Linked DNA regions of Caenorhabditis elegans. The protein of the gene in region 4 purifies or fractionates together with the protein of the main gene of each other region. This does not show direct contact. Each region holds a gene or a part of one and is shown on either strand. Other genes may lie near its edges.

Region 1 (7,740 bases), on a different chromosome or scaffold from region 4:
TTGTTGTACATCAATAGATGATGCTCGAGATCTCTGAAAATAATAATTTTGAAAAAAAATTATGTTTTGGGATCATACCGTCACACTTCTAGACTGTTTACTGGTACCAGCTTCATTAACCGCGGCATTTTTCTTTTTTGGGGTCTTCTGCTTGCTATCATCATCGATCGATTCGGAATTTGCTCTGGATCTAGCCGTTCGTTTGGAAGACCGTGTAGGTGTGGCTGGTTGTTCGATATCTGGAGAGGATGAACGATCTTCTTCATCTTCTTGATTTTCGAATATCGATTTAGGCTTGGTGCCACGCTGAAACGAAAACAAATCAATTTACAATTTATGAATACAACATTTTTAATTCAAAAAAATAATTAAAAATGCTTACAGCTTTACTTCCAACTTTAGGAGATCCTGCATCCTTTTTGGCGGGTCTTCCTCTTTTTGGCGTCGTCGGTGCCGATTTGTCGTCCTGATTAAAGTCGATCGTTTCCGAATTGCCCCTCTTTCTAGAAGTTGTACGTTTGGTAGAAGCAAGTGCAGATGACGATGGGTCAACAGTTGTATTTTTGACAGATGCAGAGCGAGTGCTTCTTGATGCAGGCCGTTCCTCCTCCGCTTCTTCTTCTTCTTCTTCTTGAACTTCCATTGTAACCTCTAGCGGGGATGGCATCTTTTGGATGATCGATTTTTTACCGCGCTGAAAATGTTCGAATAGTTGTATGATTAAACGATTAAACAACGTACAGTTACACTTCCAGCTCTACTAGAAGATGTACTAGCTGCAGCCTTTTTCGTGGGAGTTCTTCCGGTTTTTGGTGTCGATCTTCCATCATCTTCAGACGACTGCTTGCTAACAACCTCAGAAGTTGCCCGAGTCCGACGCCGAGTTGTCATCGCAACCGACGTCTCATCTGGTTCGGCAACAGTATCATTCCTAAGCGATGTGGAGCGAGTTCTTCGTGACGCTGAACGACTTGGAATTTCAGACTCCAAAACAGATTTATTTGCTGCCACTGTCTTCTGGGCTGATGCGGATCGAGTATTTCTCTGGAAATATTGAACTAAATTTTTAAAGAAATCACGAGAGACTTACTGATGGAGGTCTATCTTCCTCGATGAGTTCCTCTGGCTTCTGGTCTTTTACCTTTGATGAAGATTTTTGAACAGATGCCGACCGCGTATTTCTCTAGAAAAATACACATATAAATTTCAAATTTTAAAAACAACTCACGGATGGTGGTCTATCTTCTTCCGTGACTTCTCCTGATTCCGAAGTTTTCTCTTGGTTAGATGATTTTTGAACAGACGCAGAACGAGTGTTTCTCTGAAAACATAAATTTTATTTCTGTCTGTCAAATTGATGACGAAACTGACAGATGGAGGTCTTTCTTCCTCGACAAGTTCTTTCGGATCCCGGTCTTCCACTTGTGAAGTAGACTTCTGGACAGATGATGAGCGAGTGTTTCTCTGAAATATACAATTATTGCCGTTTTTCCTCAAATTTTATTTTATGGTATCTTACAGATGGTGGTCTATCTTCCTCAACAGCTTGTTCTTGAACTTTATCCGCGGTATCTTCATCACCTGTCGGAACTATGTCAGGCTCTTCCTGTAACTCTTCCTGCAGTTTAATAGACGATTCGAGAGATTCGTTTTGAGGCTCTTCCGGAATCACTGGCTGCATAACTTCAGGTTCTGGCTCTTCCTGTCGTTTTTCAGTTTTTTCAGGTTCTTTCGCATCTTGCTGAACTTCTTCAGATTCAACTACCTCTTCTTCATTCACTTCTTCAGATTTACTCTCCAAATCATCGGCTACATCAATCGTTGGTACAGCTTCACAATCCTCATCCATTTGAACCTCGAAAGATCTTTGAACTCCATCCCATATATCTTCATCTTCACCTTCCTCCTCAAGAATACCCGTTTTATCGGTTTGTAAATGACTCAAATATGTCTCATCGGTTGGTGGCATGACGTCATCATCTCGTACTTCAAACGTATCTTCCATGGGAGGAGTTTCCGAACCATTTTCTGTATTTGCAGCTTCTGGAGCAGATGTATCTTCGAGAACCTCGAAATCGTCTTGGTTTTCGAAAGTTTTCTCACTTTCAATGCATTCATCGTTTTCTTGTTCTTGATCTTTTACTTCTTCCATCTCATCCACTACATTTTTCTCTGAATCCTTCTCCTCGTCATGTTTTCCCATAGACCGTGATTTTCTAATAGTCATGGTTTCCTCTTCTTCATCTTCAAGAATTGCAAAGTTCAATGCAAGGCCTTTCCGACCATTGTCTTCAATACTCTCGTCAGCACCTCTTGGAACGTCAGCACGGAATCGGATACGGCCTCGACTAGCCGATTGGCCACCTTTAGCTGTTTTCAGAATACTGTTGTGAGCAGAGACTGGCGGCGGTCTGTTTCCAGCGGGCGATAGAAATCCATCTTGAACATTTTCCTCCTCATTATGTCGCTTGTAATACCGTGCCGGTGTTGCAATCATCATATTGATTTCTGCATTTTGGTGAGAATCCGGACTTGTGATACTGTTGATACTCGAATTGTTGGCAACAGATTCGACGGCACTCTTCCACTGTTGAATTCTCTTCGCGGTCTGTAAATTTCAGAATCTTGGTTTGTACTATTTAACTGCAATAATCTTACAGGTGGCACATATTGTGATGACGAAACACTACTCTCATCGTCTTCACCAAACTGACTTGATTTCCGCTTTCTTTCTGTTTTGTCATTGACAGAAGCGAAAACTTCAGGCATATCTTCGTCGTCGTTTTGCACCTTTCTCTCAAACATTTTCTTAACTGAAATTTCGATTTCCTGTTCTTTCGCAGTCTTCTGACGACCTCTTCCATCCTTCTTGATCATTCCTGGCAGGAAAGCCGATAGCAATTTGTTGGAACTAATCGCTTCTGATGACATTGCTTCAAACTTTTCGTTTTCAAAGAGAAACATTTGGTAGAGAATCTCAGATTCCGGATCGAGAACTGGCACTGGAAATTAAAAAAAATTAATTGGAAATGAGACTGAAAATCTATCTCACATCTAACTTTTCCACCTTCCATTTGCATTTTCATTCGTTGTTCAAATCGCTGTAAATCGTGTTTTCCGATTGTCACTGTCATCGGAGCATCTTTTCCCCACAATTTCTCATAACTAATCTCGTCATCTTTCATTGAGAATACTTTCTCTCCAAGTGCTCTCATATCATCCGATGTCTTGCTGCTTGTTAAAGCCTTCTTTCCTTGGTCCAGAATGTAATAAATTTTCTCCAAGTTAACGTTAAGCATTTGATTTGTCATGATTTTGATAGTTTCAAGTGCCAATTGTTTTTCGCTGTGTTCAGAATCTTCAGGAGATGTGGAAATCCAATCAATGACATATTGGACAACGAGTTCTCGTTTAATACTCTCAGAAATCGAAACATTCAGCAGGCATTCCAGCAAATCGAGAGGTGTTGGCGGATACCATTCGTCATGTGGAATATCGTTCCAGAATTGAGCATTTGGAGCTTGACGATTCATTTTTCGAACGACTGATTGAACGGGTAGAGATGATCTGAATAATTTAATCGTATAACTTTTTCTTAAAAAGGATTTTTCTAAACTCACGAGTTCTTTCTCGCCATATTTTTTCTCTTTGAATGTAAATCCTTCATTCTTTGCTGTCTGATCGGGTCTACAGGAATGATGGCAAAATTGATGAATTGGCTGGTAAGTTTCGTATGGTTTCTCATACATATCACAGAATGGGCCAAATTGCGAAGTCGATCATCTTTTAACGCTTTTGAACAGGCTTTCAGATATTCGTAAACAACTCGGAAAAGCTTGATTCCCTGTGCAATAGATTCTTCTGCTAGTGGAGAGAGAGCAAGTGATCTTCCCTGGAAGAGTGAAACCATCTTGTCAGAAATAGTTCTCTTGTAGTCAACAGCTTCGTGAAGTGCCCATTCTGCTAATTCCCGTTTTAGCGTGTCACTAATGTCAGGACGAGATGCCAATTGACAAAACTCTTCAATTTTTCCGTAGTAGACGATAACGTTGAGAAGAACCTTTTGATCAGACGATAATTGAAGTTCGTTTATTTCTGCGGCGCTCTGAAAACAATTTCATCAATTTAACTTTAAAAAATAAGCTCACCGAATTGGGAGATCCAGACAGAATATTTTTTCTCACTAAACCAGCTGCCATAACAACGCTGGAAATCATTTCGGGATTCCTGATGAGAGCAGGCAGTTTGACGGCGCATTTGTTCAAAATCTGAAAAAAAAACCGGAATAAAAACAATCTCAATGCCGATAAATTTACCGTGTCCTGGATGTTCTGGATCTTCATCCAGTCAATTCTGGTATTCTTGGCAACAAAAACCCTTTCGAAGCTTAATGCTGACGGATAAAACAGTTGATCTGCGTCTGAAACCATGCTAGAGAAGCTGGATACATCAGTGGCCTCATTTGTAAGAATTCCGATGTCATTTACATCTTCTGATCGGATGTTAGACTTTATAGTTGATAAGAATGCACATTGCTTGAGAACAGTTCCATCTGTAGATACTCGACCGGGAACTCTTTTGTAGTACCATGAATCTATATCAAAAATAGCTGCTTCCACAATGTATTCTGGTTCAGCATTCGGGTCTTCTGTGCCGATCACCATCTTCTTTCGTTCGTATGCCAAAAGAACAGAGTTTCGATTAGAAGTTGATCCGAATGTCTGAGAAACATTGTGCATCGAATCTTCCGTTCCTCGCTTTCTTGTGAGCATCATATGATCTCTTTCAGTAACAATAGGATTCACAGCCAACCATCTTTCTCCGAACAAAATCTTATGTTCTAGACAAACACTGAATGATGGACGGTCGTACTTTTCTTCTCCATCAACATCCTCGAGAGTTTTGAAAGATCCACGCCAAAGTTGAATCATGATTGGATGACGAGGTGAACAATCAACAGTGGCGATGAAATACTCAAATTTGTCGGGATCATCTTCTGGTTCTAATGGAGCAATTTTTCTGACAAGTCGTTCGTGTCTCAATTCCAAAAGCATCATCTGATTTGAAGGATTCAATGAAGCTGCCAGAATGCCTCCCATCGATAAACCGACAAGAAGAGTTCGACTTCTTGGCATCAACGATAACGCTGAGATATACACGGCGGCGGTTGGGTATTCACGATATGCTCCATCGTCCAAAGTGTACTGAAGAACTGAACCGCTGACGTAAGCATCTGAAACACACTAATCAAATTTGTTTAATCTTCGGGAAACTTACTCATTAGGTTGATCAAATACTTTTTCTCACTGTGAACTGTGATGACAGGACTTGACGGCGTCTCAACAGCAACTAAACGAGCTAAGTAGCATTGTGTCTCCTTGCAACCTGGAATGTAAATTTGCAAAGTTTTCATTCAAATTTGATTTATTACCAATTGCCACAATATGCTGCCACGTCATCAGTCGATGATAGAGCTTTAAAACTGTTCTCTGTGTTTCATCAGCCATGTCGGCAGACGAAAAAAGCGTCTTCACAACTGTAATTTTCGATGGAACTTCCAGTGAGTGTGTGATTGTCATGGCTGGTGAATCCGGATCAACTGCCAATGCAAGAACAAAGTGCTCGGCACCGCACGACTGACGAGGATCTTCAACACCAACAAGAATTCCGAGCTTTCCTTCTGTAAATAAAATATTTTGAAATCAATAAAGAAAATATGATAGTAATAAAAAACTTACCTTCTGTTGGAAAATAGTCCGCATCGATCAAAGCACATCCTTCAGGGAAAACGAACGAGTGAGTTACGCGTTCCCATTCGATATCGAATATTTGACACGTATTCTTTTTAAAATTCACAATGTAGGGAAGTTGACGACCTGAATGAATAGAATAATGTTGAATCGATAGAAATATGAAATACCAATTGAATCCTTCAAAATAATTTGCTTTTCTCCCCTCCAACACTCGTATCCTTGATATGATTTGAAAATGGACGAATTTTCATTATCCATTCTGAAAAAAAATAAACCTTTGCACATCGCAGCTAATAAATAACATTTAAAGAAGTGAGACAAAGAAATTATCAATTAAAATAAGTGGTTTTAGAAGTGCGTAGCTTAAAATAAGGGCTCGTCCGACTACATTCAAACGACCGGGAAAATTTGTTTTCACCAATACGCAAACACCGCAACGGAAACATACGGACTGCGAAAACAAGCGAAAATGGAAAATGCTTGCAAAGGTTAGAAGACGCAACGAAGAATGTAGAAATTGAATGGAATTCTTAAATGAAAAAAATCAATTTGAATGATTTAAATTGGAATATAATCCATATTACATCATTATCTTAAGAGAAGCACATACTTAAAATGACGTAAACCAACTTTTTAGCATTTTCAAATGACTTCTAAAAAATTAATGGAAACCCTTAAGAAACATACATTTTTTGGAGCAACGAGCGTAAAGACTGTTTTACTCAAGAAATGATAAAATGATAGGCGCATCGCGAAACCTTGTATTTTTTGAAGAAAAACCTTGTTTATTGAGTGAATAAAATTTGACTAATTGTAAAGGAACTTTTTACGAGAAATTCTTCGAAAACAAAATTAACCATCCGCGAAAAAAAAACAAACAAAAAGGAACCCAAAACAGGATGCAGGGGCGGGACCTATTCGCAGCCACCGCACACTTTTTTCGCAAGCCTCGCACGTTTTTTCTTTTGAAAAATGCAACAATATCATGGAAAAACGTGCGAGGCTTGCGAAAAAAGTGTGCGGTGGTTGCGAAATAGGCCCCGCCCCTACTCACGCGTGGCCACGTGGCACACGGCACACGTAGCGATTGAAATAAACAAATTATAACTTAAATTAGTTTGTGAAATCGGTTTCTCTCCGACACACGCGTCACTCAAAAATGCGTATTTTGCGTATTTTGTTTTCATTGGTAATCTTCGGATTAATAGTTCATGTATTGGTGAGTTGCCTAGACATCCTTCGATTTTTCTAGACCATAATGTTTCACCATTTTTCAGCCAACAACCACCACACCAAATGTGCCTGTTTCCGCCGCTACGAACACTTCAAACGTGACCGCTCCTGCCGGCAATTCGGCAAAAAGTCCTAATGCGACCGCTCCTGCCGGCAATCCGACGAAAAATGTAAACGTGACCGCTCCTGCCGCCAATACGACGCAGCTTGCTCTTGTGAGCTCGGCGAGCCCTCAAACCTGCAAAAATGGAAACGGCACACACTGCCCGTCATGTGCATACACGATCAATGTTCACAAGGACACGCCGAAGTACATCGGATATGGCATCCTGATCGCCTTCGTCATTTTCCACATTTTTTTGTATTTCTACCTCGAGGATCAGAAGGCGAGGGTAAGTGAAATTTTGCCAGTGGCCTAGCTTTTTATTGATTTAAGTTATATTTAATGAAAAGCGAATTGCGTACTACACGTGGACAACTTTCAACATACGAAACCTTCTTTTCAGGAGCAGAAGAAATATTTTGAGGAGCTCATCGCTGAGCAGATGGCGGCTAGGAAGCGAGAAGAACAAGACGATCAGCAGCACGAGGATGAGGAGAAGGAACGCCGAGAGCGGTTGGCTTATGGAATTGCCGCGAATCCGGTACGTTTTATTATCGATTTTTTTGCAACGTGGCCTAGAAAAAGCGAGAGCTCGGCCAAGATCTTTGAAGGTGGCCGAGTTTTCGCATTTCGCGGCCACGACGTAAAAAC
Region 2 (4,323 bases), on a different chromosome or scaffold from region 4:
TTGACATTCTTGTGAGCAATAAGCAAGCCGTCGGCAGGCGCTGCACTTTTTGAGTTCTGCCATACTCGTAAGGCATTGATTACAATATGATTCGACTTGATCTCGTGCAAGAGCAAATGCGTACACATTTTCGTGGAGGGCGTCTGGGGGAAGATTCATTGGGAACTGAAAGAATTATTTGAATAATTTTTTTTTAACGGGTTTTTTAAAATTAAATTTTATAAAAAAAATTAAATTTAAAAAAAACTTCATCGATTGTAAATAATTTTCTGAAATTAAAAATTGAAGAAAATGAGAAAAATCGATAAAAGAATCTCTACAGTATTTTTAAAGGCACACACCCACACACAATTTTCAATGTCATTCGTGCCGAGACCATTCTGCAATAATGCGCCCTTCTTTAAACTCATAGAAGTGAATTTGTTTAATCGATGTTTTTCAGTCAATAAAGCCTCATTTTTTGAAAAAATATTTTTTTCGAGTATTAGCAACTCGTCTTCTATAATCGACAATATAAAAATATGAGTTTTCTTCATTTCAATTCATAGAATCAGTTTTGAATGGGAATGGAATGGACGGGAAGAAGGGAAGGAAAAATGTCCGAAAATTGAGAATACACCGAAATAAATAAAATTATTTTGAGAACGAAAAACCGTGAGAAACGAAACTGTTTTCAGAAATTCGAAAAAGAAGGATACACAACAAAAGAAAAAAATGGTGAAATAAAACAGAAAAATGGGCGATATTTCCAATGAGCAAAAAGATTAGTTGAGTCCGATCGTGTTCCAGAACTTGTTGAGCAATCCGTCAGGTGCCTTGCGAACCGATGGGGTTCCCTGTAAAATCTTTTTTAATTGGTTAGAAGGATTGAATCAATGAAATGCTTACGTTTGTTCTTTGATCGGCAGCCAATGGTCTCATTCCGACACCAGAACGGACGGAAATACGAGAAGAACTGAAAACATAAACAATTTTTTGTGGAAATATTAATTGAATTGTGAAAAATTAACTTTTTCTTTTTCACATTTTCAAAGTGGAGTAGCGCTAGACTACAAACTACAAACTTCGCTTTAGCAGATTCAAGTATAAAATTTAGATTTTTATGAATTTTTTACTAAAAATTTCTAATCATACTTGAGCGAGTTATTTGCATCAAAAACATTCGACGAGTTGAGCACACTGTTCTCATTGTGATTAACTGATTGATCGGCCATATCGTTCTCCACAAATGAGTTATACATGGAAGCAGATCGGTTTGCAGCTGCAGCAATGTTAGATGATCGAGCAACAATTCCGGATGCTGAGCCGTTGATCACGTCCTGTAAATTTTAAAATTAAAATAAAAAATAAATATATCCTTTTTACTTACCTTATTTGTGCACTGAACGACTCCAATAAATGTATCCTGATCGAGGAGAGTTCCGTTTCGAGAAATAGCTTGTTGAGCGTGTGTGACACACGAATAGCGCATATGTATGAAGTTTCCTTTTGATGGAGTCTGATGACTAACTACTTCCCCGTGCCGCGAGAATAAATTCAACAAAATCGACACTTGGCTTGGCTGAAATCCAAAAACAGTGACCCAGGTATCAGCTGCGTCGGCTTCTTCTTCCATTGGTTGTTCTTCTGCTTCAGCCAACCTGGATGTGACTCGTTGAGTGATTGGAGTGGAAAGTGGTGTTGATCTGGCAGTGAATGTATTTCGTCTGGAGATCTTTTTCGCTGGTTCAACTTTGTCGCGAAGAGATCGAAGAGGTGGTGCTGAAAATCAATTTTATTTTAAATATTCGCGAAAAAATGTAAATTCTAACCATGCATCGCTTGACCACCGAAAGATGATGTCTGAATCGACTGAGGAGCTGGCTTTGTCGGCGCCGAAAATGATGAATTTCCTCCGAAAGACAAGTTGGCAGGTGTATTCTGTGTTTGTGCCGCCGACTTTTCACCAGATTGCACCAAAGATGGAGACCAATGAACTGATTTAGAGCCCGGTGTATCCTTCAAATGCTGCGGCACTGCCGGTGCAGAAACAGCGAAAATATCCGAACATGGTGCCGATGCAGTGTTGAGCGGGCTAGCGGTGTCTAAATAATTATCATATTTTTGAGAAAACTTAAGATAAACTTTACTTACACGAAGATGGAACAGTTGCCTTTCGCTTTCCGAAAAGAAGTGCCGGCGTAGACTGTTCAACTGGTGTCCCGAAGCTAAAATTAGATTTTTAGTATTAAAAACTGGTTTTTTTTTTGCAAAATAAGAAACAAATTACTCACTTTGAAATACTAGAATTGTTGAGATCCATTGAGTTATGCCTTCCGGATGTATTTTGGTTAAGATGCGAGAACATGGCCTGAATTTCGAAATAAAATGCTTTTTAATTAAAAATTTAAGCAATAAACAAGTTTTTCAAATTTAAAATAAAGAAAGAATTGAAAAATACCGCTTTTTTAAAGTGGAAAACAGGTTCGAAAAGTTCCAAGAAAAAACATTTTTGTTTGAAAAATCAAAGTCCGCAACGACAAAACACGCAAAGCTACGCGCAATTGCGGACTTGAAAATGGAGGGAGTTTAAAATAGGGTTTTTGTGGTGAAAGTTTGCTGGGAGGTTTTCTGCGGGAAATAAAGAGAAAATTTTTTTTCTCTGATCGGATGTTTTGTAATTTTGATGAAGTCGATTTTCTGTTTGAACTTTGATTTTTTTTCTTCAACACTAGACACTGAAAAAAGTGAAATTCGTGTATGGGTTACTGTATAATACCGCCGACCCCTATAGTACATACCTATCCATAAAATATTGAATTCTAAAAAATTCTAGAAATTTAATTACACATTTCAGATGTTTTTGTTTTTATTTCCCTTTGACCTACTCCCTCGTCTAATTTTCGTTTTCAAATTTCAACGAGCACCACTCGTTTCTTCTCACTCCTCCTCGTTTTAATTGCAAAAAAAAACGGAGAAAATTGAGAAATGCACGACGACGGGGTCCCCCATTTAATTAAATTCCTTTTCTGTGTCGTCGACCTTTTTTTGTTGACCACACAGAGCACAACGTTCGGAGAGCTTCTTCCCGCCTCTTCATCAAATAAAATGAGAATTCATTCCTTTTTTGGGAAAGAAAAATGTTTCGTCGCGCACGACTATATAGCCCCCTGTGTCGTATAATATTTGCGGGTTGGTCAAAATGAGAAAGAAAAAAAACCAAAAGATGATGAATTGAATGAAAATTGTATTTAATATTAGTTTTCGGACCGAACCGGATGTAATTTATTTTCAGAAAATGTGGTTGGTTCTGACTGGAGCAGAAGTGGCGACCTGATGATGTAGTCAAACTTGCGCGTCAAATTTGGTGTTTTCGCCCCGCCTCTTAGAAGATGAGATTTTGATTTTTGAACTGAAACTTTCAAACTGTGATTCCCATAAAACCGTACGGAAATTACAATTTCCGTACTGTTACAAAACAAATTTTGGGATAGAGGGAATTATTACGTAGACGTCAAAATTGGGAAAATTTCGTAAAATCTTAGGTCTCGCCACGCCGAGTTACTGTAACTCGTCTCCATTTACGGGTAGCATAGTATCATAATTTTCAGATTTAATCGAAAATTGCTGTCAAGAATTTGAATATAATATTAAAAATGGCACAATATTGGTCCAGTTACAGTAACCCAATTTCAGCGTGGTGAGACCCGAAAACTTTCATCTTTAGACTACCACGTAATAACAGAAATTGAGAATAGAAAACGATGGTATTGGCCACACCCACATAACCGTGCGGAACTTGCAGATTTTGCAACCTCCGCAAGGTTCATTGAGCTCTCATTCTCATAACCGTGCGGAGGTTGCAAAATTTGCAATTTTCGCACACTCTTCTTCTCGTGGAGTACACATTCTCCGATTTCGAAATTTAAGAAAGTTTTTGGAGACGAGGTCACCTGGCAACGGGATCTATGAAGACTAGCGGAAGAACATTATAGCAACGATTCGTTTTTTTTTCGGCAATGTGTCCCAAGTGCATCCCTTTCCATCATTTTTCTTTTTTTATTCTACTCATCGTTCCATTCCACTTTCTTGTGTGTACGACAGCATTCATTCAATCCTAATTGGATGTGATCCTTCTGTGCCCCCCTCACTCACTCAACAAGTTGCTCTCGACGCTTCTTTTTCACATTTTTCTTCCTCTCTTCTTTCCTTTTAAAAGCACTCTACAGGATGTGTTGATGATGATGATGATGTTTTCTTTTTTCTCTATCTCTTCTCAATGCTTTTGAGATTTTTAATGAGTTCTAAAAATGGAAACGTGTGCAGCGCTAATAGAATTGAAAG
Region 3 (7,625 bases), 760 kb from region 4:
AAATTCCGATAACTAGAATGATGATTCCGACAAGACAAGTCCACAGCAACGTTGGAATAGCGTGAGAGTACTTATGTGCAAGAATCAGAAGAACATCTACTACCCCACGACTTTCAAGTGCTGAAACGATTAGGAATTTTATTGAATCCTGTAGTTGAAACTTACCGTTGTATACTTGTTTAGCAGTCTCATCCAACAACTGAACAGTGACAGGAACACGAATCACTTGACCAGTCAACGTGTTCTCAACAGAAATTTGGCATTTCTTTGCATGTTCAGTGAACAGAGCTGCTGATTTGATGTTGAGACGGATGTTATAGAACACATTTGCCTTTGCAGAATGTTTATCACTTGATCTTGAGGTTTTCTCGACCGATACAATATCTCCTTCACATCCAGAAACGACTATGTGCTTCGAGTCGTATGTAGGCGCCCAGATGGAGAGAGCTGCTTCGATTTGATTCATATTTGAGAATACGAGCTGGAAAAAGTAAAATATTAAAAAAAAACTTCGTGTAACTGACCTCCTTCTCCTCGACAATAAATGCGAAATGGAATGGAACATCAATTGTAGCATCATTTACTTGTACTGTACCATCTGAAATCCATTTCGCAGTAATTCTAGCATCAAATTGATCTTTCAATAGTTCCTCGGGAACAACAATTGATGAAGTTGAGACACTCGAATCAAATCGACGAATTTCACACCCATAACCAAAAACTGGGCTGAAAACTGCTGAAACCGTCAGCCAATTGACAGCCGAAATGATCTTCGAACGACGAGTGAAAGCAACTTGACATTCAAATGGAGCACCAATCGCATCAAATGATCGAATTTGATCAGCAGTGCACTCTGAAACAACAAAGATGAGGATGAAATGTGAAACAACAGCAAATCTCACCTCCATAAATTGACGAAACTTTGCTTCCTGAAGTATTATTGGTTGCAGCAATGACAGGAATTACGAATACCGAATGCTCATCATTGCTCACAAACTCTGGTTTCTGACCATCAGGGAAACGAAGAGAAGATGGCAATACAACGGAGATCTTCGAATGAATTGTTTGTTTATCAGCATGAAGTCTGATAAAAGTATTTCCAGCCTTTGTGAGTTGTGCAACTCCGAGATTCTCATCGAGCCAACTGATTCTTCCTTCACTTGAACTTTGAGACGACCAGCGAGATCCGTCTACAGTGAAAATGTTTGATTGAAGACAAATCACATCAGATACAACAAGATCGTTTGCATACTTGTGAGCAGCTCGAGGAAGGATTGATTCAGACGCAGAAAGACGAATAAATGTAGCAATGTGGGTATTTGAAGCATCACCAATTCTGAGAACAGTATCTCCAGCGGTTTTCAGTGTGATTGTCAGTGTCTGATTGCTGTTGGTGGCGACAATATCGGTCAAGTCGAATCTATAAGAATACCGTGAATATCTTGGATCTTAAAAAAACAATTTTCAAAGATCGGAATTTTCCTTACCTATGTGGTCTGAAATTGATACTGTTGGAGGCAGCCGCAAGACGACGACCTCGAGCATCACGTGGAACAACGTTTAGCTGGATTTGGGCTCCAACAGGAAGATGTATGAGTGGAGAATTCTCAAAAGCACTTTTAAGTTCAATTGTTGGGTGAACATCGAGAGAAGCGACACGAGAAACCTGAAAAAAGGGAAAAGTGAATCTACAAAAATATAGCGTTTCTTACAGTCACAGGAATGAGAACAGTTTCATTATCCGGGCTGTTCACATTACGAACGGTAATTGCAGCTGATCCTTCTTTTCCGTTTGTTATCAAATGACCGTCCGCAGAAATGACGATCCGGCTCGAGAAATCAGAAGGAACTGAGAAAGATGCTTGAGACCTGTAAATAATAAAGTTGAATTAATGAAATTAGAGTTGTTTAAAAGGAGAACAATCTGCAAAAATATTCACTTACCATGCAGTGACCATCTTCAATTGAGAATTTGGCGCCACTCTGACAGTATTAATATCCATTTCTGGTTGAACTAATGAAAGTCCATCTTCCACTGTAATTGTTGTTTCAGCGGTGAAAGTAGAGGTTCTTCCAGTGAAATGCTTTCTTGCCTTCTCATTAAGCTCAACAACCGCTTTCACTGTAACCGATCCTCCTCGAATAGCATTGAACCAAATGGCAAATTGATTATCAGTTGGTTCGACTACATCTCCACCGAGGGGATGAGTTGTGAATAGAACAGATGGATCAGAAACGCTCCATGTTACTTTGAACGGGTAAATGGCTCCACCAAAAGCAAATGGTTCTTCGTCTTCAGCTCCGGCGATCACTCCTGAAGAATAAAAAATAATTAATTTTTTTGAAAGAAAAGTGTCACATACCTCTTAATCGTAAGTTTACTCTTCCACCAGTTTCCACTTTCCTGCTTGACGCTGACAGAATAATTCCACCGAGAGAGGCAACACGAAGAACAACAGTATCCAAGGTAACATGACCATCACCAACACGAACAGTTCCGGTAATTGCTGTATATCCAAGTTCTGACGACGTAATAAGTGCATTAGGCTCAATGGATGCAATCATTGAATTATTCAAGGAAAAATCGAGTGGTGGCGTCGGTTGAGGACCTCCAACGACTTCTAACTGAAATTTGGAGTCCGGAATCAAAGTCAATCTTTTTGGTTGCAAGAAAATAGGAGAGAAAATCTGAACGGTGTGTGGTCTAGATGAGAGTACACGTCCTGATGAAGATTTTGATGATGCGGACAGCGATACAGTTCCAATTGAGTTGGCACGAAGAGTGTAGCGAAGTCCGTCAACTTTGGTCAAAATTACATGATTGTTACTTGCATCGAGTTGAGCGTCAGCAAGTGGACGATGTTCTTTTTCGAATGAAGCTCCAGTTTCGTCTTGAGCCAGAATCTCTACTTCAACTTCTTGTCCAATTTCCACAAACTGCGGTGCGTCAATCGCCAATGAATGAATATCAGCAATTCTTACGGAAGCATCGGCATGTTGCCCAACCAAACAAGCATCAGAAATACGAAGATTCACTTGTCCATTATTCTTCGGCGTAACTGTGAGACTTCTTGCACGGAGAGCAATTGCAACTGGTGAATCTGATGTTGGCAGATTATCGACATGGAAATGGCCAGATCCACCAGTTATAGTGAACGTTCCTTTTGAGACAGCTTCATTCCAAAGAACGAGACGTGCTGGTTCGACGTTCAATCCTTTTTTCACTGTGATTTCATATTTAGTGGAGAGAGATCCAGCTTGAGCTTGAATAGTAACTTGGCCTTCTTTCTATAAATATATTTATGTGAAAAAAAACTTAGTTTTCAGAATCAACTCACCTTTCCAGAAGTCGCATCTGCCTCAATTCCATGACGATTAACCGTCAAAAGACCAGAATCAGAAGTAGTCCATTTCGGTGAAAGCCCGTTGATTGAGGCCAACGGAGTTGCAGCTCCATTACAAACTCCTGATCCACGGAGAACGAGTTCTACATTTGTATTGATAAGCATTGAATGAACATTCAATGGGCACTTGGATGGACGTTGTTTCTTGTCAAAAATTTCAAGACGAGTTGGCTTTGCGCAACAAATCGAAACTGTAATTTCAGAGTGAATTGGAAGTGGAAGCGTTGACGATTTGAGGTTTCCAATACGAAGACGAACAGCTTCTGTTACTTCTGAAGATCCACACTTGAACAAAACTTTTTCGTTTTCAAATGTGACTTGAAGTTGCGATTGCTTTGTTTCTTGTGTTTTGTAAAAGTTTGCTGGATCCAAAATCCACGGTCTTGGTCCACCAGACACAGTCAATGGGTGAGTACTTCCGAGTGCAATTGATGAAGATTCTTCGGAAATAGACAATTTCTCGTAGACTGCTACATCGATGCTCGCTTTGTGGCCCAAATAACTGATGGACACTCGGGCATCTCCTGATGACAGTCCTTTGAAAGTTATTGTTCCACAACCAGTGCCCATCATTGGAAGCGACGAATCAGCTGAAGACTCGTGCCGAAGCAACGCATTATCCGTAATTTGAACATGAGCACGGATATTTCGACAATCGGACATTTCAACTAAAAGTCCATCAGATGTGAGTCCGGTTGCCTTGATATTTAATGTAAGAGTATCTCCGACGAATGTCTCACGGACAGTTTCTCCAAATCCGATTCCAGACACTTCGAGAATATGAACACTGGCAATGTCACGAAGCTGATCATTTCTCTTATCAGTTGCTTTCACTTTAGTGCTTCCTAATGAATTCGCAGTCATTCTTCCAGTTAGCAGATCCACCGTTGCCACGTGTCCATCTTCAGAAGTCCACTCAAACAATCCACTGCCTCCAGTTGCTGTTAGATCAATTTGTGATCTTTTCTCAGATACGAATGGCAAATAGATAACCGGTGGAACAATTCTCACAGGATCAACGATAGTTACTCGCTGCTCTCCGCCAATTTTGCCACTTTGTGCAATTCGATTTCCCTTGGCATCAATAATAGCAACAAATTTGGTTCGAAGAGTAGTTTTTGAGGGTTTCAGTGGAGTCACAAGGAACCAGGTACCATTCTCAGACTTGAAATCCACATGAAGAAATTGCTCATCGATATGAGTGTCGAAACGGGAATTCTGAAAAGTTGTAAAATTTAAAAATTGACAGCTGTTTTTTGTTCAATTTTTCAGAGCTTAACTTACATCAGCAACAAACATAACATTTCCGTGCTCATCAAGAAGTTCAACGTTGATTGTATACTGTTTTCCGGTTTCTAGCATCCAATTATCTCCTGAAACATGCCATTGGACAGATTCGGCGTCTACCACATGAATGACAGTAGATGGTGGACGTAATCCAGCTTTAGCGCGCACATCGACATCTGAAAAATTCTTTTTGAACGAGAAACATCCATTTATGCAACTCACGGCTGCTCAAGAGATGTACTGCAGTGTTTCCAATCGTCAGAGCTCTCACAGATGAACTTTTTTTATCGAGCGACGCCACATCACCACCATCAATTTGAAGTTCGTATGACGGATTAGGCATGTTCACTATTTCTGTTCCACGCTGCTTGACAATTAAAACTTGGAATGGAAGAACTGAGTGAACTGGCAAGTAAACATCTTGAGATGGAACCAAAAGTAAATTTGCGACGACGGCGAGTTCGACGTTGTGCGCTGCTACTTTCTGAAAAAAAAAACATCCTAGGTAAATGTAGTTTTGCAGATTGCTCACCTGCAAATAAGCATCACTGAACTTGGTTGTCAATGTGGCTGTTCCTGTTCCAACACCTTCAATCAGAATTAGATATCCTTTCTTTCGATTCTTTTCCAGTTTAACAATTTCAGAAGGAGCTTCATATGTTGATTGCTCGAATGGAACAATTCGTAGTGGTTTCGCTTTATTTGAAGATGTTGATGCAAGCTCCCATTCCAATGCAATTTCACTGAGAGTAGAGAATCGATCGCCATCGGCGTTAAATGCGTCAACAGTCATTCGAGCAGGGGCAGCGTCCACGAATAGAACTTTCGTTGTTGTTTCGATGCTAATAGTTGCGATCTCATCTACTGTCACGCCGCAACTCAATGTTGTGCCGGATCCTTAATAAAAATTTTAAAACCAACATTTCACAAAAATTATACCTTTATCTTCTGCAAAAATAACAGCAGACAATTCCGAACTTCCAACAGTTCCAGGCTTCGCAACCGATCGAATTTCAGCTTTATCCGAACATCCAGCTTCGTTAGTTTCGATACGTTTAACAGAGACAATATCGGGACGAGTAGATCTCCTGCAATTAAATATATTAAAAAATAATTAGATCATTTCATTGAGTTACCATGTAAAACAACCTCCGGTTGGATGCGTTACTTCCAGCACAAATGAAACTGGGACCGTTGGATGGTACGGTAATAAAACTCGAGGAACATTTAGCCGGTATGATATTGTGATTTGCACTAAAGCCAAAACGAGCAGTGATCGAAGTATAATCATTGATCTATTCGGCTCTCCTACCTACAAAAAAATTAATGAAAATTTCTCTTATGGAAAAGGAAAACAGGTGGAGATGAGAGAAATTTATGTATTTAATATAAAAGTTAAAGTTAATTAACTATAGTGATCATGCATTAAATAAATAGTAGAATAAAAAATAAATTTAGCGATAACTCAGATCGGATTGAAGAAAAAAGAAACTGAAATTCTGCGAAAAAATTCAAAATTATTTCGTTGTACGCAAACACGGCGCGGTTCTTCACGACAATGAACCAATTTGGTGACCGTAGTTCATAATTCTAGATTCGGAATCTGAAGAAAAAGCGTAATTGGGGAAAAAACATGAAAAAACATGAAATTAATACCGTGAAATAAAATGCGCTTTTTTCCTTCTCGATCAAAGATATATTCATATTACCTCAAAAAAAATTTTACCTAACAAATTTGCTCGTAGATCTCTTTGTTATGGTTTTTTCCTGATATTTTCATTTCGACACATATTGCGACAACACGTGTTTTCATCAGCAGAAATTATTTGACAGTTATTTATTTTAAGTTACTTTATGATATTTTCAATAAAACGTGCTCAGAAAGTGCACAATGAGACGTTTCTTCTCGAGTTTCTATGTCTCCAAGACCCGGTTTACGAAAACCCGTGTTGTCTCGAATTATTGCAAGCGCGCTCCACTGCACTTCCATTTTTGCGCGAAGAAATGTTTTTGCAGTTTTCCTTGAATTTTTGTGGGGTTTTCAGAAAAACACTTTTAAAGGCACAATTTTGTATTTTACGTTAAGATTTTCCTAACACGTTCTTTTTTCCAATATTTTCAAGCCAGAACTGTTTTATTTCACGACAATTATTGCAGGATGGCATCGTTTCGTAAGAATCACGTCATTATTGATTCCTCAGACTCGTCGGAAGACGAGGATCGCAAGGTTTGTTCGAGTTTAACATTTGAATTTTGCTTTAAAATTATTGAATTTCAGGAAAGACACAGCTCCTCATCTGAAGTCGATGAAACAGCTTCAATGAGATCAACTGATAGCTCCGAGCCGCCCAGGACAATTATTGATGCCTCTCTGAATTCCATGGCTTCAACCGTGTACACATCAACTCCAAACTCCAAGCAGAGCATCTCCAGAACCGGTTCCTCCACCACCTACGGGAGCTCTAAATGCTCCACAGACGATCACTATCGTTCGAGAAGCTTCATTGACAACAGCTTCGAAAAACCAGTGACCCCGATCACCAAGAAGCTACAGGAATCCGATGAGCCCCGCGCAAAGCAGCAGCTCCGTGAGCGGCTCCTCAGAAAATCCATCAAACAGCAATCGGATCAAGATCTGACAGGTGGCTCATCGCGAAGTGGATGGGGAACTGGTGAAAATAGCAGTCTTGAAAGCAGTGATCTCATAAATTCGCATTTTTCGCCAATTGCGAAGACGTTCCGGCATGCTTCCGATTTGGATGATTCAATGGTAAGAATGGGGAAACATTGACCTAAAGCTGGCTCAAAATTCAAAATTTCCTTTTACTTTTTTCCGATATTTATCCAAAATTTCACATTTTACTTGCCAGAAATTATCTAGAAAACGATTTTTCAAGCGAGAAAATCACTTTTTGCAAGTTTTCAAGCCAACGT
Region 4 (7,770 bases):
AAGCAATTTCCTGATGTACATCTCGTACTCAAAAACGCACTAATTTATTCGAATGGGTCTCGCCTAGATAGAAAATGTTATGGTAGCACGTATTTGTTACTATTGTGATACAATTTTGAGCTTGTGTTTTTGAACATCAGTGCCTCAATTGGGGGAACATAACTTCGAGTCATCATACTGATAAATTCCTCTACCGACAAATATGATTAAGCCATTCGGAGATAAGAAGAATTAGAGACCCCCGGTAAAGAGGGAGATAAATTGAAGAATAAATGAAAATCGACCAAGGTCTCATTTCATCTCTTTTTTGTTTCCTACAACATCGTTAGTAATAGTCATCGTCTTTTTTTTATATTTAGCTATCTATCTACCTACTTAAAATCGATAACCTACTCATATTTACCAAGAGTTGGTGGAAAAAGTAAGTAATTTTATTGTTTACTTTTGAATTGAGGTGGGAGGAGGTTCTGTACTAATCTAGAGACACAGGACGTGCAGCCAATCATTTCAAATTTTGTTTTATTTTCACACCTTTATTGATTCCAACCTAGGAAATACCATAACGAGACAAGTGGTGGGTTTTAAATGGTGGGAGTGGTCACAACAACAATAGATATAATTAGATTTCCCATTAAAAATTAATTCTTGAAAAAAAAAATCGGAAAGAAAACATTCAAATGAAAACAAAGGGGAAGTAGCTCTAGCTAGAACTCAAAAGGCTCGGTGTTGAAAACTTGAAAGTTGTGTTTCGGAATTTGAGCAAAATTAAATGGAAATGTGTGGGGGGGCTGTCTAAAAAAGAAAACAAAATAACGGGTAATCTAAACATTTTTGAAATCAGTCACAGCGAAAAGTGTATTAACCCGATGGTAATTTTGAATAATTTGAATTATATTTTGAATATAACAGTTTTTAAAGACTTTTGAATGGGAAGAATCATTTGATAGGAGACATATGGGTATATATGGGAGGAGGGGTTAATAGATGTAGATAATTTTTAAATATAGAACGGGGGACAAATACTACCGGGGAAAAAGGGAATGAGGATAGAAAGATAACTAGGGTTTTATGTAGAGGACTGTTGTGGAGAGAAGGGGACACTCCAAAAAACGTTTCGAGGAAAAGAAAATAAATTTTGATAAACATGAGGCGAAATTTAAAATGGGAAAACGGATATGTTTTGTACAGTTCCTCTTCTCTACTTCACAACAAACATACAATTAATTAAGGGCAATAAGGAAAGAGGGAACAACAAAAATGGTATGATTGCAACAAAATATATTTCTAATAATCTAGATTAAATGACGAATGTCGATTAACAACTTTTCCATTACTTTCTCATGTTACGGCGTCGAGCCATTGCCATTTTTCGGGCGCCGACACCACTCGGAGCTCTGCAAATAATAACAATTAATACTTATGTACTTTTGAATTAATTGGTTAAAGTTGGAAGAGAAACTTACTGATAAGAAAAGGCGTTTTCCATTCCACCAGGTGCTGGAGCTTGTGGAACTGACATGTTACCACCAAACTGGAACGCTCCACCTCCTGGAGCAGCAGTCGGAGCTGGAGCTGAGGTGGCAGCATTTCCAAACTGGAAAACTCCTCCGCCTCCTGCAGTGGCGCCGGTTGTGCTGCTAGATGCACCAAAGTTGAAGCCATTATTGGACGTGCCACCGAACGGGCTGAAAATAATAATTGTTTTCTAGTAACCAAAAAATGTTGAAGCTTACTTAGAGGAATCAGCAGGTGCTTGACCGAACAACGAGTTCGTAGATGAGCTAGAAGACAATCCTGGTTGTGATGGCTTGTTTCCAAATGCACCAAACACTCCAGAGGTTGATGTTGTCCCGGCGTTTCCGAATGGGGTCGCTGTAGAGCTAGGAAAACCTGAAGTGCTTGAAGAGTTTGATGTCGAAAATGCGGGAATGCTTGAGGATGAAGGCCCTCCGAACATTGGTGGATTTGTAGAAGCACCGCCAAAGAGTGATCCACTTGTGGTTGAGGCAGTAGAGGCAGGGTTTCCAAAACCAGTAAACTTTGGCATCTCAACTTTTTGCTGGCCGCCGAACTGAAGCTTCTGTGAGTCGGATGAGAACAATCCACGCTTTGCTGGTGCCCCGTCAGTAGTGGTTGTTCCTGAATCGTCTCCAAATGAAATCGGCTTTCCGAAAATCGAAGAAGTTGTCGAATCAGCAGGCTTTGTTGTAAACAGATTAGTTGCTGTGGACGAGGATCCTGCACCGAAAAGGCTGGTTGATGCTGATGCCGAGTTGCTTCCGAAGACATTAGTTTTTACAGCTTCTGCGGTAGCTGTGGACACTGGTGCTGCAGCAGTCGTTGGATTTCCGAACGAAAGCGTAGAAGAAATCTTTGGAAGTTCCGTTTTGGAATTGCCGAACATTGATGATCCACCGAATGATCCAGTAGATGAGTTTCCAAACAATGACATGGTTGGAGCAATTGTTGGAATAGCGGATTTTGATTGAGTCGAATCTGTAGATGATGGAAGAGCAACAGAGACAGGAGTTGTTGTGACATGTGTTTCCTTATCTAAGATCGATCCGAATAGGCCTGGCTTCGCAGTCTCTGTCGTGTTGGTTTTGTTTAAATTGAAGATAGATCCAGTTGAACCACCAAACAATGATGATCCCGCCGTTGGCGCCAAAGAACTTGTAGACGATGCAGCACCTGGAGCCAAGAAACTTGTGGTAGCTGAATCGGCAGGTTTGGCGATATTTCCGAAAAGAGATCCAGCTGTTTTGGGAACTTCTGGTGCAGATGGTTTCTCGACTGGGGCTGATGAAACAGCTGGTTTCGCCGAAAGCCCAAAGGCTGGAGTAGAAGTTGGCGCAACTTCTGTTGTCTTTGACAGTCCAAATGCAAATGCGCTTGGTTGGGTGGTTGCTGTACTTCCACCAACTCCGAATGAAATAGTAGACCCTGTGGAAGAAAGTGGTTTGAAGGCCCGATTACCAAAAACATTCGAAGATGCTTCAGCAGATGCATATTTGACATGTGAGCAACATGGGCATTTATCATCACTGGCCTTATTGCTAACCATACAATCAGGGCACTCCCAATCAACACGTGTACCATTGGAGGATGAAGTTACAGCAGCAACAGGAGCAGATGCGATAGTAGTAGGGGCTACTGGAATTGTGGCAGGAACAGTTGTTGGTGGTGGAGCAGTTGTCTTGGGGGCTCCAAAAAGTGGTGCCACTGAAGAACCGCTTCCGAATGGAATTGTGTTTGAAGTTGTCGATGCAATAGTTGTTGTCGTTGAAGCACCTGATCCAAATCCGAACTTGACAGTACTTGGTGTATTCGATGCGAAACTACTGAGATTTGATACAAGCTGCTTTTCGGAAGGTTTTGGTTGACTTTTTGGACCAGTACCAGATCCTCCTGGACGTGCTTCCCCACATGCCCCACATTCCGATAGCTGAAAACAAATTATTTGTCAATTTCTTAGTTTCTTTTCCGATGAATTTTTATACTTGACAATTTTCTGAAAATGTGAGACTATGCTCTAAAGACACATGATGTACTTTTCAGCGAGACTCGTGACGACTTCAATTATTTTAGTTGAAAAAATGGAACATTTCGCGCACGCTTTCCTAAACCCACGAAAACTGTAGACTAAATTTTGTTATTAATTTTAAGTAAAACATAGTAGACCCAGTTTAGAGTTTTCTCGTATCAACATCAAAATTTCTTACCGTAGAATCCCAACTACAGAAACACGATTGACATTCCCATTTTTTAGAACCAGCATCGACCACTGGAGCTGGAGCAACCACAACTGGTTCTGCATCTTTGGCAACTTTTGGAGACGAATCCTTTGAACTCTGATTGGATCCTCCGGCAGATGAGATAGTGTCAGCGGAAGTTTGTGGTCGCGACTCTTTCACTTCACTACCATTCTCCTCACCGACGTCTACTTCTGAGTCTTCTGATTCTTCGGAATCTGATTCGTTTCCACTGCTTTCAGATGTTTGCTTTTCTGTCGATTCTGCATTGCTCTCACTGCTGGACTCGGATGCTTTATGTGAGCTTGCCGTACTTGCGGTTTTTGCAGTTCCAACAGCAGTAACTAAATCAACTGGAGCTGTGAATGAGAACGCGAGATCGTCCAAAAACCCGCGCTTGGGTGCATATTCTGGCGCCAATTTCAGAGGTTGTGGATTCTGCAGAGTTGTTGTTGGAATTGGTGGAAGTTTCTGTGAATCCTCATCAACTTCTTCAATGTCATCAGAGAGTTTGAACGTATTTCTACTAACTGGTTTCCCATCAGGTCCCTTCATAATTGAGGCATGTTGTTTTCGACTATTTGACGAGTTTATGGTGGTCGTGGATGCAGTTGATGCTGTCTTCTTTGGAGCTGGTAAGTCCAGTGAAAACAAGGAGCTCAGCTGAAATTTAAAAAAGTTAAGATAAAGTCGAATAATTTAATTATCATAATTTTAAGTTTGTTATAATTTCTGAAAATTTCCCAATGAAACGTTTAAAAATAAATACTAGACTGTGATAATCTCGTGTCTAATTTTAGAAAATTTGACCAGAAAAACTTTTTCATAATTCTTGTATCATTTTTTTTCAAGTGTTTAAAATCCAGGTTACCTCTGCAGTCGCAAAGTTTCCGTTCAATGATTTCATTGAATCAGAAGATCCAGTGTCTCCATTTTTCGACGATGTTCTTTTCCTAGTTAAATCCGTCCAATAAGGAGCACGTCGAGCGGACATTCCCATAGTCTTTGATATGAGCTGTATACGAGATGGAATTGCGTCTCCAGCTTTTTTCAATGGAGGTGGTGGTGTGCCAGTTGCTGAACCATTTGGAACCTTGCTCTCGCTAAACGATCCCCATTTTTCTGGTCGAGCAATGCCAGCTCGAAGCATTGACATTCTCTGAACTTCTTTCGCGGGTGTATTTGCACCTTCAAGCTTTTTGAAAATTTCTTGAGTTCTTGTACTTAATGACCCGTTGGTAGTTGCTCCACTTCGTCGGCTCAAAAGTGAGAAATTTGTGATAGATGAAGCAGGAGAATGATTAGCAGTTAACTCTCCACACCAAGTCATATCCATTTTCCTCTCATTATTCATTGAACTATTAAGAGTTGGTTCCAGTAATGATCTGTTCAGGAATCGACTTCGTTTCACACTCTCACTTCGAAACGATTGTGGTAGAATCTGCTTGTCGAGCTCTGTCAGTTGACGTTTGCGATTCTGGAAAAAAATATTTCGATAGCATTTATCAACAGGTTTAATCTAATTTTTCTGTGAAAACACATTAATAAAAAGACAACTTTAAAAATTTACCGTGGAAACCGCAGGAGTGCTGAAGAAAATATCTGGAACAGCGTCCACATCGATCTCTAAGCCATTGGATGCACTCGTACGCCGATCCAATGCAGTCGGACTGAGGTATCGAAGACGTGATCCGATGCGATGGTTTTGTGAGGTATTCACTGAAGTTTCATCTGGAATTTAAAAAATAATGAGTTGAAATTCTAGTGCCATGTACTGATATGAAAGTCAATGTGATTAAACTTACCTGAAGCTATTTTAGCTTCATTATCTACGGATAATATATTTTTCAATGCTGGAGACGCAGAAGGAGACGATTTTGAAGACGAATTGGATGTACCTTCATCATTCGACTTATCGCCGTCTTTGCTTTTAGTGGCACTAGCTCCAACAGAAAAGAAGCGGCCAACCGATGAGAAAAACCCTCCGGATTTATCGGACATTTCTGAAATAGAAAAAAGTTGTTTCGTAATTGAGACTAAAGCTGAGAGAGACTGAAGAAATTTTTCTGCGCCGTGTCAGAAATTCTCGATAAAATAAAATTCTTCAAAAACGACACTTTTCGAAATACTTTTGAAACGCCTAAATGAACTACTGGAAGTACCAAAAGAACATGACAAATGCACCTAATATGTTTTGGTAAAAATTCCGAATTATTGATCGATAACACAGGTCAAAACTACAGAAATCATTCAAAATCGTAAATGTTTAAATTTAGGCCGCGCCAGTAAACGCAGCATTAAGCATTAAACTTGATATATTTTTAAGGCAAAAAACCTTTTACCAACATTGAATTTTCGAAGGAAAGAAGTGTAAATTACATTAAAAATCAATAAAGGAATTTAAAATCGCAAATGGCGCGAAGACGATTAAAAAGAAATTTTCGAGTGCGCACACGCGACGCATACGCGACGCTTTCAACGACATTTGAGAGGTTAGAGTGCAGACAGTTATCCTTCCATTAACAACATGAAGAGGGTGCAGAGAAACGAGAGAGTGTCCATTCCACAAGGCCACACCCCTTCAGCTGGACACTTCTGGAGCTCTTTTGACGACGTTCGACCCTGTTTTTGACTCTTTTTCCGTTAAATATATTTATTTTCTATTCAAAATTATTTTTAACGACCTCTTTTCCATCTTTTTTTCTGTGTTCAAAAAATGTGTTCAAAAAATCCAAAGGTAAATAAAAACATTATTTATTTCAGACCCTCTGCATCACCAATAGAATGCGATAATTCGACAGAAGTTATTTAATTCATTCAGTAGAAATGATTTTGCGACATTTCGGTGAGTTCCATCTTTTTATCTTATCAATTTTAATAATTTCTCCGTGGAAAAGTTTTAAATATTGTTGTTATCACTTTTGTGTTGATACAAATAAAATTAAAATCCTATAATTTCGTAGTAAACGAAGTATCTAAACCCGAACCTCTGAAAGAAAACAAAAGGAAATTAAATAAAACTTCATTACTATTTATAATTTTCAGGTTTCATTCTTATAATTCTGACAGTTTATCTGTCATCTACTCATGCCACAACACGGAAACATCATCGTCGATCGATTGATAATGGTGAGAGTTTTTCACATTTGAATTCAAAAATATATTAAAATGGGGGAAGGAAGATGACCATCTGGCATTCTGTCAAGGTGTCAGTCACCGGCAACATAATTTATCGATTCAAGAATGGAATTTTGAAAATAGAAAAATATAAATAAAAATCATCTTAAAGTCAATACTTGGCACTGAACTACCTTGTGGCTATTTTTAAAAAAAATTGACTCCATAAAAATAATACAAATCCAAGAAAAGTTACGTTTTTTTTAATACTCTTACCTATAAAACACTTAGTTTATCGTCGAATTAATGGTTTTACTTTGAAAAAACCTTCTTTCAAAATTATTCTCAATTTTCGAGTTCCGATCTAGCAGAGTTGTTCAGCAATCTTTTAGTTCCTTCACACCTTAAAGATGGAGCAGCGATTTTTTTGTCCCCAGAAGAGAGACATCTTGAACGTTTTCTAAATTATGGCGGTTTAGGGAAAAATTAAAATTTTAGTTAATTTTGACTCCGCTTTTGAGAAGCCTCATTCCGTCACTCGGGGCCTTATTTCACTACCCCACGGTGGGTACCACCTTTAAAGAAAACTTGACGCCAAATTGTAGCATTTTTCACTACAAACCAAAAGTGGATAGCTCAATTCCCCAGATTCTCTAGGCGTTTGATGTTCGAAAGATTGTAATCTCTACACAAAATCCACCAGATTCGTTCATTTCATTATTGTGTGTGTGGGTCCCAATGGTTCCACATGAAGTCTTCTCTCTCTCTTTTCTTCTTACTCTTGGAATGAATTGTGACACAAACACACACACACAAAACGAAATGCCATCATCTTCTTTAGCTTCCACCACACAAATCTTTCTCTTCCATCCCCTTTCGATTTCAATTGATGGATGAGGCA

What was found.
Region 1: the proteins of npp-7 (region 4) and mel-28 fractionate together in Caenorhabditis elegans (co-fractionation; one large-scale study listed by BioGRID). This does not show direct contact.
Region 2: the proteins of npp-7 (region 4) and npp-19 fractionate together in Caenorhabditis elegans (co-fractionation; one large-scale study listed by BioGRID). This does not show direct contact.
Region 3: the proteins of npp-7 (region 4) and npp-12 fractionate together in Caenorhabditis elegans (co-fractionation; one large-scale study listed by BioGRID). This does not show direct contact.

Annotation. Positions count from the first base shown.
Region 1 is NC_003281.10:4,784,352-4,792,091, reverse strand, and holds the start of mel-28 (Protein mel-28), read right to left. Parts: upstream 6,013-7,740; 5' UTR 6,012-6,012; coding exon 5,921-6,011; intron 5,877-5,920; coding exon 5,739-5,876; intron 5,681-5,738; coding exon 5,432-5,680; intron 5,386-5,431; coding exon 5,278-5,385; intron 5,234-5,277; coding exon 4,317-5,233; intron 4,269-4,316; coding exon 4,149-4,268; intron 4,106-4,148; coding exon 3,621-4,105; intron 3,568-3,620; coding exon 3,053-3,567; intron 3,003-3,052; coding exon 2,659-3,002; intron 2,609-2,658; coding exon 1,520-2,608; intron 1,465-1,519; coding exon 1,372-1,464; intron 1,322-1,371; coding exon 1,229-1,321; intron 1,184-1,228; coding exon 1,091-1,183; intron 1,045-1,090; coding exon 742-1,044; intron 695-741; coding exon 383-694; intron 307-382; coding exon 79-306; intron 34-78; coding exon 1-33. Other genes in the region: enu-3.2 (ENhancer of Uncoordination), read left to right, coding at 6,913-6,972, 7,031-7,378, 7,493-7,630. UniProt on the Caenorhabditis elegans protein: Nuclear envelope protein which has essential roles in assembly of nuclear pore complexes and in chromatin maintenance during the cell cycle. Appears to be a stable structural component of the nuclear envelope during interphase.
Region 2 is NC_003280.10:10,796,130-10,800,452, forward strand, and holds npp-19 (Nucleoporin NUP35), read right to left. Parts: upstream 2,351-4,323; 5' UTR 2,348-2,350; coding exon 2,274-2,347; intron 2,208-2,273; coding exon 2,134-2,207; intron 2,085-2,133; coding exon 1,812-2,084; intron 1,762-1,811; coding exon 1,370-1,761; intron 1,320-1,369; coding exon 1,135-1,319; intron 956-1,134; coding exon 889-955; intron 846-888; coding exon 765-845; 3' UTR 524-764; downstream 1-523. Other genes in the region: set-14 (SET domain-containing protein 14), read right to left, coding at 1-159.
Region 3 is NC_003279.8:6,445,689-6,453,313, reverse strand, and holds the start of npp-12 (BIG2 domain-containing protein), read right to left. Parts: upstream 6,011-7,625; 5' UTR 5,983-6,010; coding exon 5,828-5,982; intron 5,780-5,827; coding exon 5,631-5,779; intron 5,589-5,630; coding exon 5,224-5,588; intron 5,176-5,223; coding exon 4,914-5,175; intron 4,868-4,913; coding exon 4,689-4,867; intron 4,623-4,688; coding exon 3,339-4,622; intron 3,289-3,338; coding exon 2,364-3,288; intron 2,315-2,363; coding exon 1,945-2,314; intron 1,870-1,944; coding exon 1,713-1,869; intron 1,667-1,712; coding exon 1,488-1,666; intron 1,421-1,487; coding exon 903-1,420; intron 854-902; coding exon 525-853; intron 482-524; coding exon 166-481; intron 121-165; coding exon 1-120. Other genes in the region: T23H2.3 (Transcription termination factor 2), read left to right, coding at 6,850-6,918, 6,970-7,461.
Region 4 is NC_003279.8:5,690,249-5,698,018, reverse strand, and holds npp-7 (RanBP2-type domain-containing protein), read right to left. Parts: upstream 5,756-7,770; 5' UTR 5,754-5,755; coding exon 5,558-5,753; intron 5,484-5,557; coding exon 5,323-5,483; intron 5,230-5,322; coding exon 4,624-5,229; intron 4,416-4,623; coding exon 3,723-4,415; intron 3,446-3,722; coding exon 1,734-3,445; intron 1,686-1,733; coding exon 1,464-1,685; intron 1,395-1,463; coding exon 1,331-1,394; 3' UTR 513-1,330; downstream 1-512. Other genes in the region: Netrin receptor unc-40, read left to right, coding at 6,579-6,597, 6,798-6,881.